Linked DNA regions of Caenorhabditis elegans. The protein of the gene in region 2 purifies or fractionates together with the protein of the main gene of each other region. This does not show direct contact. Each region holds a gene or a part of one and is shown on either strand. Other genes may lie near its edges.

The links. The genes of interacting proteins can lie anywhere in the genome.
Region 1: the proteins of AH9.6 (region 2) and C01G10.10 fractionate together in Caenorhabditis elegans (co-fractionation; one large-scale study listed by BioGRID). This does not show direct contact.

The regions. Positions count from the first base shown.
Region 1 is NC_003283.11:15,078,446-15,084,604, forward strand, and holds C01G10.10 (putative tRNA N6-adenosine threonylcarbamoyltransferase, mitochondrial), read right to left. Parts: upstream 3,997-6,159; 5' UTR 3,976-3,996; coding exon 3,884-3,975; intron 3,830-3,883; coding exon 3,706-3,829; intron 3,662-3,705; coding exon 3,513-3,661; intron 3,461-3,512; coding exon 3,297-3,460; intron 3,177-3,296; coding exon 2,890-3,176; intron 2,272-2,889; coding exon 2,145-2,271; intron 2,095-2,144; coding exon 1,980-2,094; intron 1,931-1,979; coding exon 1,723-1,930; 3' UTR 1,689-1,722; downstream 1-1,688. Other genes in the region: UNC-76, read left to right, coding at 1-9, 65-276, 1,173-1,267; C01G10.9 (Methylthioribose-1-phosphate isomerase), read left to right, coding at 4,342-4,456, 4,511-4,805, 4,861-5,158, 5,204-5,596; ahsa-1 (Activator of Hsp90 ATPase AHSA1-like N-terminal domain-containing protein), read right to left, coding at 5,753-5,884, 5,935-6,159. UniProt on the Caenorhabditis elegans protein: Required for the formation of a threonylcarbamoyl group on adenosine at position 37 (t(6)A37) in mitochondrial tRNAs that read codons beginning with adenine.
Region 2 is NC_003284.9:2,261,634-2,271,269, forward strand, and holds AH9.6 (uncharacterized protein), read right to left. Parts: upstream 6,506-9,636; 5' UTR 6,413-6,505; coding exon 6,293-6,412; intron 4,208-6,292; coding exon 4,104-4,207; intron 4,060-4,103; coding exon 4,007-4,059; intron 3,954-4,006; coding exon 3,814-3,953; intron 2,710-3,813; coding exon 2,638-2,709; intron 2,589-2,637; coding exon 2,525-2,588; intron 2,464-2,524; coding exon 2,398-2,463; intron 2,352-2,397; coding exon 2,246-2,351; intron 1,892-2,245; coding exon 1,741-1,891; 3' UTR 1,533-1,740; downstream 1-1,532. Other genes in the region: putative G-protein coupled receptor AH9.4, read right to left, coding at 9,610-9,636.

The sequences.
Region 1 (6,159 bases), on a different chromosome or scaffold from region 2:
GGCACATCGGTTGGTTTTCGGGAAATTTTGGAACTAAAACTGGAATTCGGTTTTTTTGTTTCAGAGATGAGCTGGACTACGAAAAAGAGATGAAAAACTCGTTTATTTCACTATTACTGGCGATTCAAAACAAGCGACGAGTTTACGCTAATGATCGGAAACGGAAGGTCGGAAAGGCGTCGGATGCTTCACAATTGCCACAATATTTGACAGCGACAATTCCGTACAACGATCATCAACATATCGATAATGCGTCGATTGCGTCTCTAATCAAAAGTGAGAAGATGAAAAGAGATATAAATAAATATCTAATTGACAAAGAATATCAGCTGTGTGTTGATTGATTAGTGAGAAAAAGAAGAGATATTTGCATAAGAGATACAGAATTTTAATATGTTTTTCTCGGGATTATGTCCCCTTGTTAGAAGTGGAATAGGGTCGGTGGGGATTTTTAAAGGATTTTCCATGAAAATCAAGACTTTTTTTTCGGTTTTTCGTTTCTCCGATTTTTCGAAAAACAAAAATAGCCCCCAATTTAGCTAATTTTTCATATTTTTAAAAGAAAATTATATGTTTTTCCTCATCACCATAAAAAAAAATTGATTTTAAAAATTGAATTTTATTCTTAATTTTCGAATTTTTTTTCTCGATTTTTTGTACCTGAAATTAATCGAAAAAATTTTTAATTTCGCGAATTTGCGTCAAAAATATTGTACAAAAAATACTGTCTCGAGACGAAAATTGTTGTTAAATGCGAAAAGGTGAGGATTACTGTAGTTTCAAACATTTTAATCGCGATTGTTTAAAGTTGTTCTCAAGATTTTGCTAAATTGTTTTATTTATATAGTTATGGAGTAAAAAAAAAAGATGAAAAATCGAAAAAACCTGAAGCTACAGTAATCTTTAAAGGCGCACGCCTGTTTGTATTTAACAAAAATTGTCGTGCCGAGACCTGGTACCGTATAATTGTGCTAATTTCGCGTCTGGGTAATATTGCAAAATGGAAATTGAGAAACCGGAAAATTTTAAAATAAATTCTCTCTCAATATCCCTTTGAAAAACCGGAAAAAAGTTATAAACAAATTTAAACAAAATCTGCTAACTTTTTGCCAAAATTTCTCAAAAATTGAACAAAAAGTCATTGAAAATTGAAAATAAATGGTTTTTTTCAGTTCTCCGCGCAATCCACGATGACAATACGACAGTACCCACCCTGCTGACAGACTACATTTTAACACATGTCTGTCCAAAAAATATATCGTGTTAGCCATTGCCACCCTTCGCCATTCCATACTAGTCATTTTCCCCCATCTACTTGTTCTTCTTCTTCTTTCTATTCTACAATTTAAAAGTTTTCCGTTCTGTTTTTGAAAATTGTGTGATACAGCTTTAAAAAAAAATAGTCCAAAAAAAATCGTATTCTCTCTCTCCACAGCTGCTTTCCAAAAAACCCCCTTCTCTTTCCTTTCCATGTTAATTCAAAAAGCTTCTTGACTCTCTGAAAACCCAATGAATGACACAAATTCTAGTTGTGCCCCCCTCCCAATTGCACCTGCCAACAAAAAGTCCATACTCAAATTCTCTACAATCCCGGAATCTCTCTCTCTCTCTACTGATGATCATTAATGTTTTTGCTTGTGCTTCTTTTCTTGTTCTTATTTCGTTTTTTTCTACAAACACAGTCATATAAAATTATGTGCATTTTTTATTAGAAAATTTTCTTCATTCAGTTGTTTTAGGGCTTTTAGGCTTCTTAAAATCATCCAGATTCCGGAATCGTATCCGCTCGGTGCCATGGATCGTGGATGTCACCAGTTTCCGACGCGGTGTATCAATGATTTCCGAAGAAGCATCCGTCCCAATATCGCTTCTAGCGTGTGCATAAATTGTGTCAGGAATGTCATTCGGTCGCCACCAAATTGCCTCCGATCTGCAAGAATTCGAATAGTTAATTATAGAGTTGGTGGGGGCTAAAGGACCGATTGACGAGCATCAGAAGGCCACTGTAGGCGATCATTTCGGCATTGTCTGTGCAAAGGGACAAGAGGACTTTGATGGTTGTGACATTGTGAGCAGCTGATAGTTTTGAGATTGCTGAAATATTAAAGTTTTAGCTTTTTCTGATACTTCTATTAAAAAAAAACCTCCAAAAATGTACTGATTCGCCGCCACTCCGCCGCCGATCACCAGCTGTTTTGGAAGTTTTTCCTGCTCGGAGAGACTTTCGAAGAAGATGTGAAGTTTGCTCGAGATATGTCGGGCTACGGTGTTCTGAAATAATTTTTTATAGAAAAAAAAACGTTCGTCGAAACTGTCGAAACTCCTAATAAATGCTCTAATAATGTCGATTTAGGAAAAGTAAGAGTTATTTTTGAAACAAATAATTTAACCGTTTTTTTTTTAACCAGAATTTGGATTTTTTTAATTAAAAAAAAAGGATTTTTTGATTTATTTTTAAGAAAAATCTTTTTTTTTTGGTTTTTTGAAAATATGAGATTTTTGGTTCGTTTTATTGCAAAAACGATTTTTTGGAAACATCGATTTTCCGTTTTTTTAGATAAATTATTTTTTTCGGATTTATTTTTTGAAACACTAATTTTTTGAGATTCTCTGATAGTTTTAGTGAAAAAATTACAGAGACAGAAATTATAGAAAATAACTCAAAAAACATTGAAAAGTATTCAAAAGGCTTGAACAATGATTTTAAAAAATCGAAAAAAAGTTTTTTTTTCAATTTTTTATAGGCTTTAATTTTTTGATTTTTTTGGTGGTTTCTGTATAATTTAAAGATTTTTTTCTGATAGAAAACTGCATTTTAGAATAAGTTTTTTTTTTTTTGGAAAAAGCGTCAAAAACAATTTCGAAGTCTCTTCTTGGTTCTTCACACACCTGAAGGCTAGCACAAAAATCTGGAATATCAATTGATGTTTCAGAGTTTTTTCTCAATCTTTCCAGCAAATTCAGATAGGATCCTTTGATTTGATCGAAGTTCATATTAGCTTTTGGAACGTTTGGAAGAAATATGGGATATCTCAAATGGCCATCAGCAGAGGCTCTAGAGGCTAGAATTTCCACCGCAGCGCCCACATGAATCCCATCGAATTCTGATCCAAGATCTCCAAGCTGCCGCGCAACTTTGTCAATGCACTCGCCCGGGCTTCCACTGACACTTTGGCCTGAAAATTTTGAAAAATTTATAGTATTTTATGTTTTGAGAGAAGTTTAAAAATAAAATTTCGTGCCATGTAGCGACAATGAGTAATAAGTTTTTTTTTCAAATATTTCAATCCTCATACCGTACAATTTGAATTTCTCGACATCTTCTGCAACAGAAATCAATGCATGACCACCCGAAAGAAGAACTGCTGAAAATGGAAATCGCACTGAATCATCGACGAGAAGAATTGACAGAGCATGGGCTCTCATATGATGAACTGGAATCAGTGGAAGACGATGTTTTCTGAACAGGAAAAATCAATATTCGAAAATTTTAAATATTCATAGTATCATACTTTGCAAATCCAATCGCCGCTGAAATTCCCTCTTTAAGTGCAATAACTAATCCAGGCGTTACTGTAACCGCTACTGCATCCAGATCTTTCGGTGATGTTCCAGCGTCGTTCAGACACTTTTCTATAAGCCTTGGAAGGTTCTCACGGTGCTGGAAATATTTCATTTCAAGTAAATTCTGAAGAAGAATCCTACTTGAAGTGCGCAGACTGAAGGATTAATCCCGCCTTGTTGTCTCTGAATCGCCCGTTCTGTGTACCGCTCTGAAGATAAAATCTCTCGTTTCTCGTTGACAATTGCTACTGCAGTATCGTCACAACTGAAAATTTAATGATTTTAATTTTTTGAACTCTATTGCTTATATATTCCTTACCTTGTTTCAATTCCTAGCACTTTAACGGAGTAATTTCGACAAAAAATTCGCTTTAAAACTAAATTGTTGTTCAGAATTTTCGGAATATTCATTTTAGATGGAGAAATTGAATAAAAAACCTTAATAAAAAATATTCTCTGCAATTGTCTAGGAGGAGTACACGGTTGTCGGATTCTAGGCCGCATGCGCAGAAGTTAGGCCATTCGGCGTTAAAACCGTAACCACGAAGAAGATTTAAATAAATCTCATCAATAAATTGACTTGAGAATATAGCAATGAAACATTGACAATATTTCCATAAATAAATACATCCTCTTCCACAACTTTTCGACTTGTGCTCACGTTTTGCTCACTTCCAGTCTACACTTTCGCTTATCTTATCATCTGGAAAACGCTGCACAGACAATTTGCGCTCTGCAATTCATTTAGCTCTAGGTATCTGCTGCTATTTTACGACAATGACCTCAAAAATCAATAAAATTGTAAACGGGCCTATTCCTGATTCATTTTTATTCGACGAGTCGAAAAGATTGGATTCTCTGAAGTTTGATGGAACCAATTTGGAAGTCCTTGGTAAGTTCAGAAATATCATCTTATAAAGCATAGTTCTAGTAAAATAAAATCCAGATCAACTCCTACTTCCACATGAATTCAAGTACATCCCGGTTGAAGGTGTCTCTGACGCTTTTGCAGTTATAAAATCAATGCAAGTACGCGGAGCTCCACTTATTGCAGTTGTCGGAAGTCTCGGACTGCTCCTGGAAATCCAAAAGGCTTCTGAGCTTGATTCTGAAAGTATTATTCAGAAAATTAATTTTTTGATAAGCTCAAGACCAACTGCAGTTGATTTGAGAAATTCTTTGAACGGCTTGAAACCAATTTTAGAGTCTCAAGACTATTCGGATGTGGTTAAGCTTGAGAAGTGAGTTTTAAATTTCAAAAATAATTCCAAATAATCGCAATTAATTCTCCAACAGATGCCGCAGTTATCTTCTCAACGTGTATACGGATGAAAAGCTTCAAAATAGAATTCTCGTCTGGAACGCTTATCAAGAGCTTCTCTCGGCATTCCCTGACAAGGAGAAGCTTACGGTAATGACGATCTGCAACACAGGAAGCTTGGCTACAATATCCTGGGGTACTGCTCTCGGAGTCATTCGGGCTCTTCATTCTGAAAACCGTCTGAAATTGGTTTACGTTTTGGAGACGAGACCCTATAATCAAGGAATTAGGTTGACTTCCATAGAGCTTCTTCATGGTGAGGTGCCGTTCAAGGTAATGCTAAATACTGATTATCTTTTAAAAATCCAGATTTTCTAGCTGATCACTGATTCAATGGCAGCATGGGCAATGAAGAATCACCAGGTGGATTGTGTGCTCACCGGAGCCGATAATGTTGCAAGAAACGGCGATACGGCTAACAAAATCGGAACCTATATGCTTGCTGTCCTCTGCAAACATCACAACATCAACTTCTATCCGGTTGTTCCATTCACGACGATCAATAAGAATATTGCAACCGGGGAGGAGATTAAAATTGAAGAACGACCATCTGCAGAGATGCTTCGAGTAAATGGAGTTTTAATCGGAAATTCTGAATGTCCGGTTTGGAATCCAGCATTTGATGTCACGCCGGCGCATCTCATCACGAAAATTTTGACGGATTTCGGAAACTGGCCGCCTGAAATGCTCGAGCAGCAGATTCCTAAATAATTTTGTTTGTTTTTGAACAGAATCTGTTGAATTTATGAAAATATTATCACTAAATTTAGAACACAAACACAGATTGATATAAAATAAATAAATTGAGAAAGCGGTTTAGAAGATCGGAGAACATCAAAAACAGGAGATTTGCAATTTTTCATTTTTTCACATTCGCTGGCTGAATCCGAAAGTACGACCAATGCTTGAAAGGTAGTAACGATCGAGTCCTTGTTGAGTTTCTTCAGCGAGATGAGTTGGAACATCTTTAGCGATGATTTTGATATCCGTTCCAGATCCCTAGAATTTATTATAATAGAAGGTTTATCCTCGTTTGTTCTAAAACTTACAGTATCTTTCAACTGGAAATGGATGGTTGCATGATGATTGTTTGGATACTTTTTCAGTCGCCATTTCTTCACAATCTCCTTGTTCGGCTCAATCTTCTCGAATGTTCCAGTCACGTTTTCCCCGAACAATGCAAATGATCCTCCTTCCTTGAAATTCCACTCTCCGATCGAATTGTTTGTCCATCCACGAACGAATTGAGTCTCTGTGAGCGCCTCGAAAACTCT
Region 2 (9,636 bases):
CGATTTTTCTAGCTAATTGGCAAATTGCCGGAATTGAAATTTCCGACAAGTCGGAAAATTGCCGGAATTGCCGAATACTTTCGGAAAGTTGTGGTCTCGCACATTTTTTTTTAGAAATTTCGGAATTTCAATTTTAAGCGGCAAAATTGTACGCATCCTGTGAATGTTCCTTCATCTATTTTGAGAAGTAAGCAAACATCTTCCGGCAAATCGGCAAACCGGCAATTTGCCCATTTGCCCAGTTTGCCGCTTACCCTGTTCTGAATATTTATTTTTAGAAACATAAATAGACCATAAAAATCAAAAAAAAAATTTTGAGAGATGACTTCCAAAACAATGACAAGCAGTAGTTAACACTTTTTGAAACAAATTGAAAAACTTTTTTGAAGTGTTTTGTTATGATACATAATTATTTTAACATCGATTATTTCCCCACTGACCGTACTTTATCTTTAAAAAACTATGAAAAACTTGAAAACTAAACTGAAAAGCACGTTTTTCAAATATATAGCGGCAGTAGACGTTGAGTTCGTGGCTTTTGTTCAGAATTATGAGGGAATATAAAATATTCACGTGAGAGAAAATATCCTCAATACATCTCTCAATGTTAAAGAAATCCACTAGATATGTGTGGTTTTACCATAAGCTTTTGCATGCTATCTTAACATAAAAATCTTTTCAAACGAAATATTTAAAATATTATTGCATTTCGAAAACTCACTTTCCATTTGTGAAATTGGCATGCGAAAAACAATGAGCGTTATCCGTGCACGTGTATTCAAATGCAGTATTGAAAACATCGGCTGGATACCGCTTACCGTAGTTGCAGCCGGGAAAGTAGTAACATTTTATGCTAATAAATGAGAAAAAACAGTGGAATTGATGAACAATAAACATTGATTCAATATTTTATCATTATCAATTTTATGTAGTGTCTTTTCTTCGAGCATGAAGAGGAAAAGTGGGAAAGATAAGAGTCTAGAGATGTTTTGATTCTTTGCGTAAAAGTAGGAATTATAGAGACTAGGTGAAAAATAAAAACAACATTGTTTGTTTTTGATAAGTGGTGAATAAATGTTTAAAGGTTTAATACTACTCCTATGGTGCTAAAATAACCAAATATCATATCATAGAACAACTTTTCAAAAAAATTAGAAATGTTTTATTTATTAACGAAGTGTAGCAATTACCCAGTTTTTGTCCCTTATGATTTTGGAAATCAACAAAAAAAACTTTCTACGATTTTCATATTTTAATTTTAATTTGGTTTTTTTTCTGTTAAAACATTCCATACGACATTCAAAAATGATGGTAACTTGCCAAAACGTTGACTAAAAATGTGAGTGGTTTATTATGATATTCGGCCGCTTTGGAATCATATAAGTGAATTTTGAGAAAATCCCCAGAAAAATTCCCCAATGGAGCTAGGCCCCTTTATATAGAAGATTAGTCAGCTCAAAATAGGCACCGAATATATTAAGTTTTGTTTATATAAACAAAGACGATTTTATTTTTATTATTCAAACTTTTCAAATTTGGAAAATATTCTTCACTTTATTTTGTTGAAAAAATAAACCTTAAAAAAATAAGAAATACAAGTTAAACAGTCAACTATTATTGATCGTTGACTCTAGCAGTGAAAATTTGAAAAAAAAAATCACCGTAAACCCGAATGAGAGAGATTGAAAACAATTACATAAAAATAAATGTACAAAAGTTTCAGATATGACACTACGAACATTAGAACATGAGATGTGTTTTGCTCTTTCCTGACGCAATCTTAATGGATCCACTTTTTTGCACTCCGATTTTCCTTCTCACCACGTACCACTCGACAAGAAGAGCAGTGATGACAAGTGCCAAGCAGACCAGAAATAGGTTTCGTGCCCACCTGAAATGATTGAAAATATATTTTCCATACCTATACCATACCTATACCATACCTATACCATACCTATACCATACCTATACCATACCTATACCATACCTATACCATACCTATACCATACCTATACCATACCTATACCATACCTATACCATACCTATACCATACCTATACCATACCTATAACATACCTTTGCCATACCTATAACATACCTTTGCCATACCTATAACATACCTTTGCCATACCTATACCACACCGATACCACACCGATACCACACCGATACCATACCTACACTATTCCAAGGCTGTTTTCCCAAACCATATCCCCTTCACAACCAAGAATCAGCTCCAATAACTTACATTGGAACGGAATGATCTCTCTGTTCACCGTTCAGCTCGTAATAATCTTTCAGTGCATATCCCACATCATCCACCAGATCCTCGATAACCTTTGCTAGTGGCCAGCCTTAAACAATACACCGTTTCTGGTTAGCATTCAGTTATGCGCGTACCTTGCACCAACGCATTGTTGACTTCACTTTGTATGTTTGGAAGTAACATTCGAAGACGATGTGAGCCTGGAATAATTGAGTTGATCGAAGTCATAAGTTTTGAGTTTTGCTCGAGTTTGAAATGTACCTGTGTGCAATCTCACGTATGGAATTTTTCTGGCGTCATTCACAACTCCATCGATTACAACAAGCTGGAAAACATATTTGGAAGGAGTGAATGGATAGAATGGCATCACTTACCGCTAGCAAATTTGTCTTGGTGCAAGATTCTCCGACACCAAACCATCGCTCATATACTTTCCACGAATAAACCTGAAATATACAATTTTTGATTTCAGCCAAGTACACACGAATATCACAGCTTCTGCATCTTATTATCATTGAAGCTTTTTTTAAAACCAGTCCGCAATAATTTGCCATACCGTATTTTTTCGATTAGAATAACTGCAATGCTATTTCACCAAAATATTTTTCCTCATAAAATTGATCTGTAAATTTGCCGTTGAAGGAGAACTAAATTGTTGCTATATTTTAAAAGTGTTGCTATATTTTAAAAGTGTTGCTATATTTTAAATAACAAGTTTTTCTAAACAAATCAAATATCAATATGAGACTTATCAAAAGCTTCCCAAAAACTTTTCAAAACGGTTAAAAATGTTTTCAAACAATTGTGCTAATGCTAGCTGAAACCCTAAATTTTGCAAAATTTCCCATGTCACAGCTGTCGGAAATTAATGTTTATTTTATTATAATCCTTAAAATTTACCTAAATTAATATATAAAGACCGAATTATACAGTTAATAAAAATAAAATCTTATGAAATTCAATGTGCAATCTTTATCACATCTAGGTGCCACAAAAAAGTTTGCAAAATTTAAGATTGCATCTAAAATTAGCTGATTTTTTTTTTAAATCTTTAACCGTCAGAAAAAATTATAAATTAAAAAAAAAAGTTTTATAACGAAGTTAGTTCATTTGAGCACATTTTGAATCTATACATTAAGTCTATACATGGGGATTTACTGAGATATCTGAATATTTTTATTTTGTGAACTCCATTCTTCAAAAATAGATTTTATTGGAAACCGTTTAGCACTGCATTCAATTTCGTTTTTGTATCTCACGCAGGAAGTATTTTTCTCAGAAAACGTTTTGCTACATTCTGAGAGTCCCTCAACTCAAGATTCATCATTTCTAGCACGTGTTGAAGATGTGCCCACTTTGCGCACTGCAACCACTTCACCCAAAAAAAGAGCGATACTTGCGTGCAATGTGGAAAACGTGATAGAAAATTGGCTCATAATGATTCAGTTCCCCTTCCTGTCCCCACTTTGCAAGCTCAACTTTGGACTAACCCCCTCCCCCCTCCCGCTAAAAACGTATACTTTTTGAAACCTCCGACCACACCGACCTACCCGTAGGAACTTCCGCACATTTCCGACAATTCCAGTCACCATGTCCCCGTCAATCTGGTCGCATTCGTTATCAAAGAGACAAGCGTACTCGGTTTTTTTCATGACATCATTTGCAGAAGCAGGCTGCTCCAGTTGTTTTGCTGGAAAAAATATAATTTCGTTGGACAAGAGAGAGGCAGGTGTATTTCTCAACTGATTATGACGGCAAGTGTTGAAGTATTGCCGTTTGTGAAGAGTGATCGATACCTGAAAATTGGGTGTTAAGATTGAAAAAAAAGAATTGTTTATACTTATTATAAGCTTTTTCAATTCCATAAACATTTGTGTAAGCCAGTTGGTGATGAAGATCGCACACAAACGGAAGTCGAGGAATTGTGTAGCAAACCGATCGGTGCTGAAATTAGGTAGATTTGAATGAGTTGCAGAAACAGAATATATATTTAATTTTTGAAATCAAAATTAAAAATTCGCGAACTGTTGAATCAAATATAGATTTGTCCTTTGTCATCTGAGAAAATAAATTCCAATTTATTTTCCTATAGTCTTGTAGATACCGTATATTTTCAATTCATGCGGCAACCCTTTTTTTATTGCAATTTTTTTTTGTGAAACCTCATTAGTTTCGACATTTTGGAAACTTTTTCTGAACATGTTTTAATGATTCTTTGTTAATTCACAAAATGAATTTAAAAAATTAAATATTAAATTCAGGCCTAAAATATGAGTTTTTGTGACTGAGAGCTAGTGATCTACAACTGAAAAGAGGTTTTTGAAAATCAGTACTGCAGTCTCTAATAGTGCTGCATTCAAAAAGGACCTTAAAATTAGTGACGGTACTCATTTTAATACCGTGAAAATTAACCGCGGCATAGGCCGATAAAAAAGAGCCCCGTTGCGATTTTAATAGGGAAAATACGGAAAATTGAATAATTTTTCCAAAGGTCACTGTTGTAACTTACTACTGCAAATTTATTTGCTTTGTAACGTTCTTAATATGTAGTAGAAATTTACAATTTCACCCCCGTGACCTTCCTCACATATGCATAACATATTCTGTCGGGTTTTGAGTACGTAGTGACTTTTTTCATGAATATATGCTTGACAAGTGTTTCACATGGCTCGCATCAACTAAAATGGATGTGGTGGTCGTTTCTTTCCTTTTCACAATAAAATATGATGGAAGACGTCAAATAAATACATGTGTATGTATATATCATTTTTTTTGAGTCGCGTGCCTTTTTGTCTGCATAACTTTTTTTTTTGGTCTACAGAGATGAGCTGACAATTTGGAGGAGAATCAAAATTACTCCTATGCTAAAAATACATTTCAGGTTTTTTCTATAAATCTCAAGAAGTTTAGGGAGTTTGCAAAATGTTTTTGACAATTTTGACAATTGTTGATTTCAGATCAAACTCTTCTTTTCACAAAGTTTTTCGGCTCCTCAGTCCTTCAAAAAAAAATTGTGAACTTTTTGCGACACAATAAACGAGGGTCCTTGAGCAACCTGGAAGGAAGCATAAGCAGAAGAAAGGCAGGGAGGGGGGACACAATTTCTTTTTTGTTGTCGCCGAGGAATTTCCTTTTCTTCTATTTGTGGTTTTCAATACAAAAGAGAAAAGGAGTTTGAGTTTTTCGGCTTTCACAAATTGCGTTTACGGGGCGGCGAGACGATGTTGTTCACCTTGTGGTTTCCAAAGGAGACCACAAGAATGACTAATGTCGTTCACGCAGTTCACCGGGTAGGTCTTGACTTTAAAATTTGAGTGTCAAATTTTGAATCACAAGTCAAAAGTTCGAAACTATGGGGTTTCCTCCCTCTAGTGCACAATTAAATCTCTGAAAAAAAAACTCGAAATTCGTCATTCTTCCGGATATCGCCAGAGTAAATCTAAGACTACGGACACAAAAAAAACAACGATTGTCTTTCACTTGATTGGTTTCATAAGGATGAGCAAATGCTCAATATGCAAATAGAAAAAAAAAGCACGACGTCTTCGTCTTTTCCACGCGGCTTTCCTTTCTCATCCTTCTTCCTCGACGAGTTTTGGAGGGCCGTTCAACTTTTCGCAAAGTATATAGAAAAAGGAGAAAGGAGGAGAAGTATAGTGGAAAAAAGTAGGATACGGCGCAGAAAAAATATATATATATATATATAAACAATAAAGCAATACTGAGCAGCAAAAAATAATTGGGTTTCTAATTGCAAGGTTTACGAACGCTTGAGTGATTTGTGGGGCACATGGAACGAAGGCTACCCCTCCTAGGGCAAAACAGAGGGAATGTATAATTTATCTTATTTTTGCATTTTCAGAACGAACAATGCTAATTATTTTTCCTTTTTTCTCATTCTTCCTACCTCAGTTTTTCTAGAAAAGAAATTGGAAATTTGAAGCTAAAGCTTTTTTGGTTCTTAAAAGTTGAGGGGAGATTTTAAAGTTCAGCAAATAAAAAAATAAAACATGAAAAAGTTGAACTCACAAAACTAGGTTCGGTGATCGGAGATGGGAAGTTGCATGGTGAAAATATGGGAGGCACAGGAATCTGACCCCCTTGGGCATAGACCGTCAGAAGGCAGATGACGAGTAGCTTGCGCATCATATTGCCATGAGAGTTAGGACATTGTGTGCTCCACACCAATAATATGCTCTGCCAAAAACGACGACGGCGGCGGCGACCGACTGATTCACCAAAACCCGAGGAGTTGCTCTCTGTGTGCTTCGCCCGACGACGGTCGTGTCCGAAGCGCGCGCAGGCAGCGCCGCCAATGCGCTCCGCCCACTTTGGCGCCGACTGAGGAGGCTAGGAGACATTGGGCAATAGGAAAACGGGGGGAAGCTTATAGTAGTGAACACTGGACTTGAAAACATTTCTCCCAAGGGGTACGCCACACACTAAGAGAATTCACGATTAACGTACGTACAAACATTCTATTTCGATACTTGTTCTTGCTCTTGTCCTTGTTCTCAGTGACAAGTCCAGGTTGCTTAATTGAGTTTTTTTCTTAGAGAAGTGCGTCTTTCCTTTCCTTTTTTCATTTTCTTCATACTTCGCACTTTTTATAGCTAGAGACCAAGTTTTTGGAAGTGATGTATTGGGTAGTAATAAAGTTGAGTACTCATGAATATTAATGGAAAGACGAGTTAATGATTGTAAATATTTCTGACGCGAAAACACAAGATCTTTCAGAAAAGGAGTGATCTATCTTCCAAATACAGGGATTCAGTTTTTTTGGTACCTGTCTCAGAAATTTTTTTCAATTTCCACTCACCTGATAATTTAATCAAAATGGGAAATTGATTTGCATTCTCAGGTTAAGAAAACACTAATACTAAAACTAAAAAATTACGTTGAATTTTAAAAATGATAAACATATTTGGTGCAGGTTTACCTTGAAAGTACCTACATTCATTCAGTATCACAAATAAATTCTCGAGGTATTCCATTCAAAATTTGTAGAAGTCAAGATCCCAAAGTAGTGTTTCAAATATTTACTCAAATTTCACCCCATATACTGAGAATGTTGAATTATTCATTACTGTGTACTCTCTCTCTCTCACGCCTAGAATTTCAGAAATGTTTCTGCAGTTTTTTGGACAAAACCGAATCAAATTTTATCTGGTCCATTTATTTTTTTCCATGCTTCAATTTTATTTTAAAAAGTGAAAACTCACTTGGCAACACACTATACGTCATCTCATCTAAAGCTTCATTTGAGACGGGCGTTGCCTAGTCTTCCCGAGGGAGATCTCAAGAAAATGTGCTCTCTGAAAGATTGCAACTCGCGCTGCTGTTGAATTTCATAACTCACGGGGAGGGCACCTGCAAATAAAGTGCATTTGAAAAAGCACGCTTGTGATTAGGAACCAGATGTAGTTGTGCTCTCTTCCAATTCTCAAGTGTAATTCAATCCAGCACGGAGGTAAAGGTACTCCATGTCATTTTAGAGCACTCTTCGCTTTTATTGGCGTGTCTCTGATGCACTTACTACAAACCACAAAGCACCAACGAAATTCAAGAGGGGACGGAAGTCAGGCTCGTACGCGTCTTCAAAAAAAAAATTCCGCAACGTAGTCTGTTCATCTCTTTTACACATACTCATTTTGACTCGTTCTAACTAAATCCAACGAAACACTTTTAGCTCCAGGTTTTTAGAAGCTTTGCAAGACAAAAAAAACCGGGCCGAAAAATAATTTCCTGTAAAGTCATTGTGCAGTCGGAGACTCCTAAAAGAAGGAAAGCAATTTTCCACAAGAAAACGACAAAGAAGCCACATTCACAATGAACCGAACCATTTATTGCTTTTGTAAGTACCAACTAATGTTAACTCGATATTAACTTTACGATAACACAGCAGTAGTGGAAAACAGGAAATTTGGAGGAAATTTCCGAAGAAAATTTTTTGAAGGGAATAAGCAGAGGTAAACGTTTTTCGTTCAATGACTTTATTATTTCAAACGACGGGAACACATTTTCCATCATCTTCGGAGCAAAGAGGGTTATTAAAATGCACGTTTTGTTACAATAAAATAAATAATTCAAAATGAAACTCGGAAAATGTTTCATTCATTGTGATTTTGAGGATAAATTTTGTAAAGTTATAAAACATTGAATTTTTCCGTTTAATTAAAGGCGGAGTGCGGAAGTATCATGGTACAACTTTTCAGAACAAAAATTGGAGAATTTTTATTTTAAGTCAAAAAATGGCGAAAACGGAGTTTGCGCCACTTCTCGAAATATCTAAAGCACTGGCGCATGTTTGAACCCCAACATTGCTAAAATATAAGAGTTTGGAACATAATTCAAACTGGAAGAAAAATACGTTTTTTTTATTAGCGATTTCCACAGATATATAAACATTTCACCGCTATCTAACTTGAAATAAAAAATGTTGCCAAAAATTTGGAAAAGTTTTATTATGCATGTTTGGCTATTTGAATACCATAGGAATGGTTTTTTAAAATATTTTTCCACTGGACGTACTTCACCTATAACTAAAACTTGTCGTTGCTTTGGTATCACACTATATTTGTGAAAAAATGTAAAAAATGTTTCATGTTTCATTGCAAACCATGTATTTTTTCTGTGAATCTTTGTTTGTAAAATTTCAAAAATTTCAGTTTCTTTATCAAATAAGCAATATTCGAAGAATGCTGTAGATCATAGCGTTGTTTCACAAAAAGGAACCTAAAAGCCGTCATAGTTTGCAATGTATTTTTTCTTTCAGATTATGTTCTCAATAAACTTTTTTTTTTGAATTTTAGTTCTCGAAAATAATCAGTACCAGTGTATTACAAAAGTTTCAATTTACATCAGCAAACTTTCGAACAATTTCCTAGAATTCTGTTTTTGGCATAAAAAGTTTGCCGTGCTTACTATTAGTAAGCAATTTATCAAGCTAGGCGACTCTATTTTATTTCTGAATTGATCTCAATTAATTACTCATCTAAAAATATTCCAACTGCACGATTTGAAGATGGATGAGTATGAATTGAAAACTCTTTATAGTCATGTACACCTTGCATGTTGACGGAAGCTATCAGAAACCAGCAAATAATTTATTTTTATAACACATTATTAATTTGTTTTCAATTATTTTTTTTGCACAATTTTTGTTTGGCTTACACGTTGAAAATGCGGAATTTGAGTGATTTGAGAAAGGAGTTCAGTAGATCAATTGAGATCAAAAATACAACAAAAACAATGAGAAATGCTGAGAGAACATGTAATAGTTTGACAAACAGGTTTGAAGAGAAGCAAGTATCCGTACCTAGTGCTAAATTTTATGAGATGTAAAATTAAGCTTCGTCATCTGAAATACATCT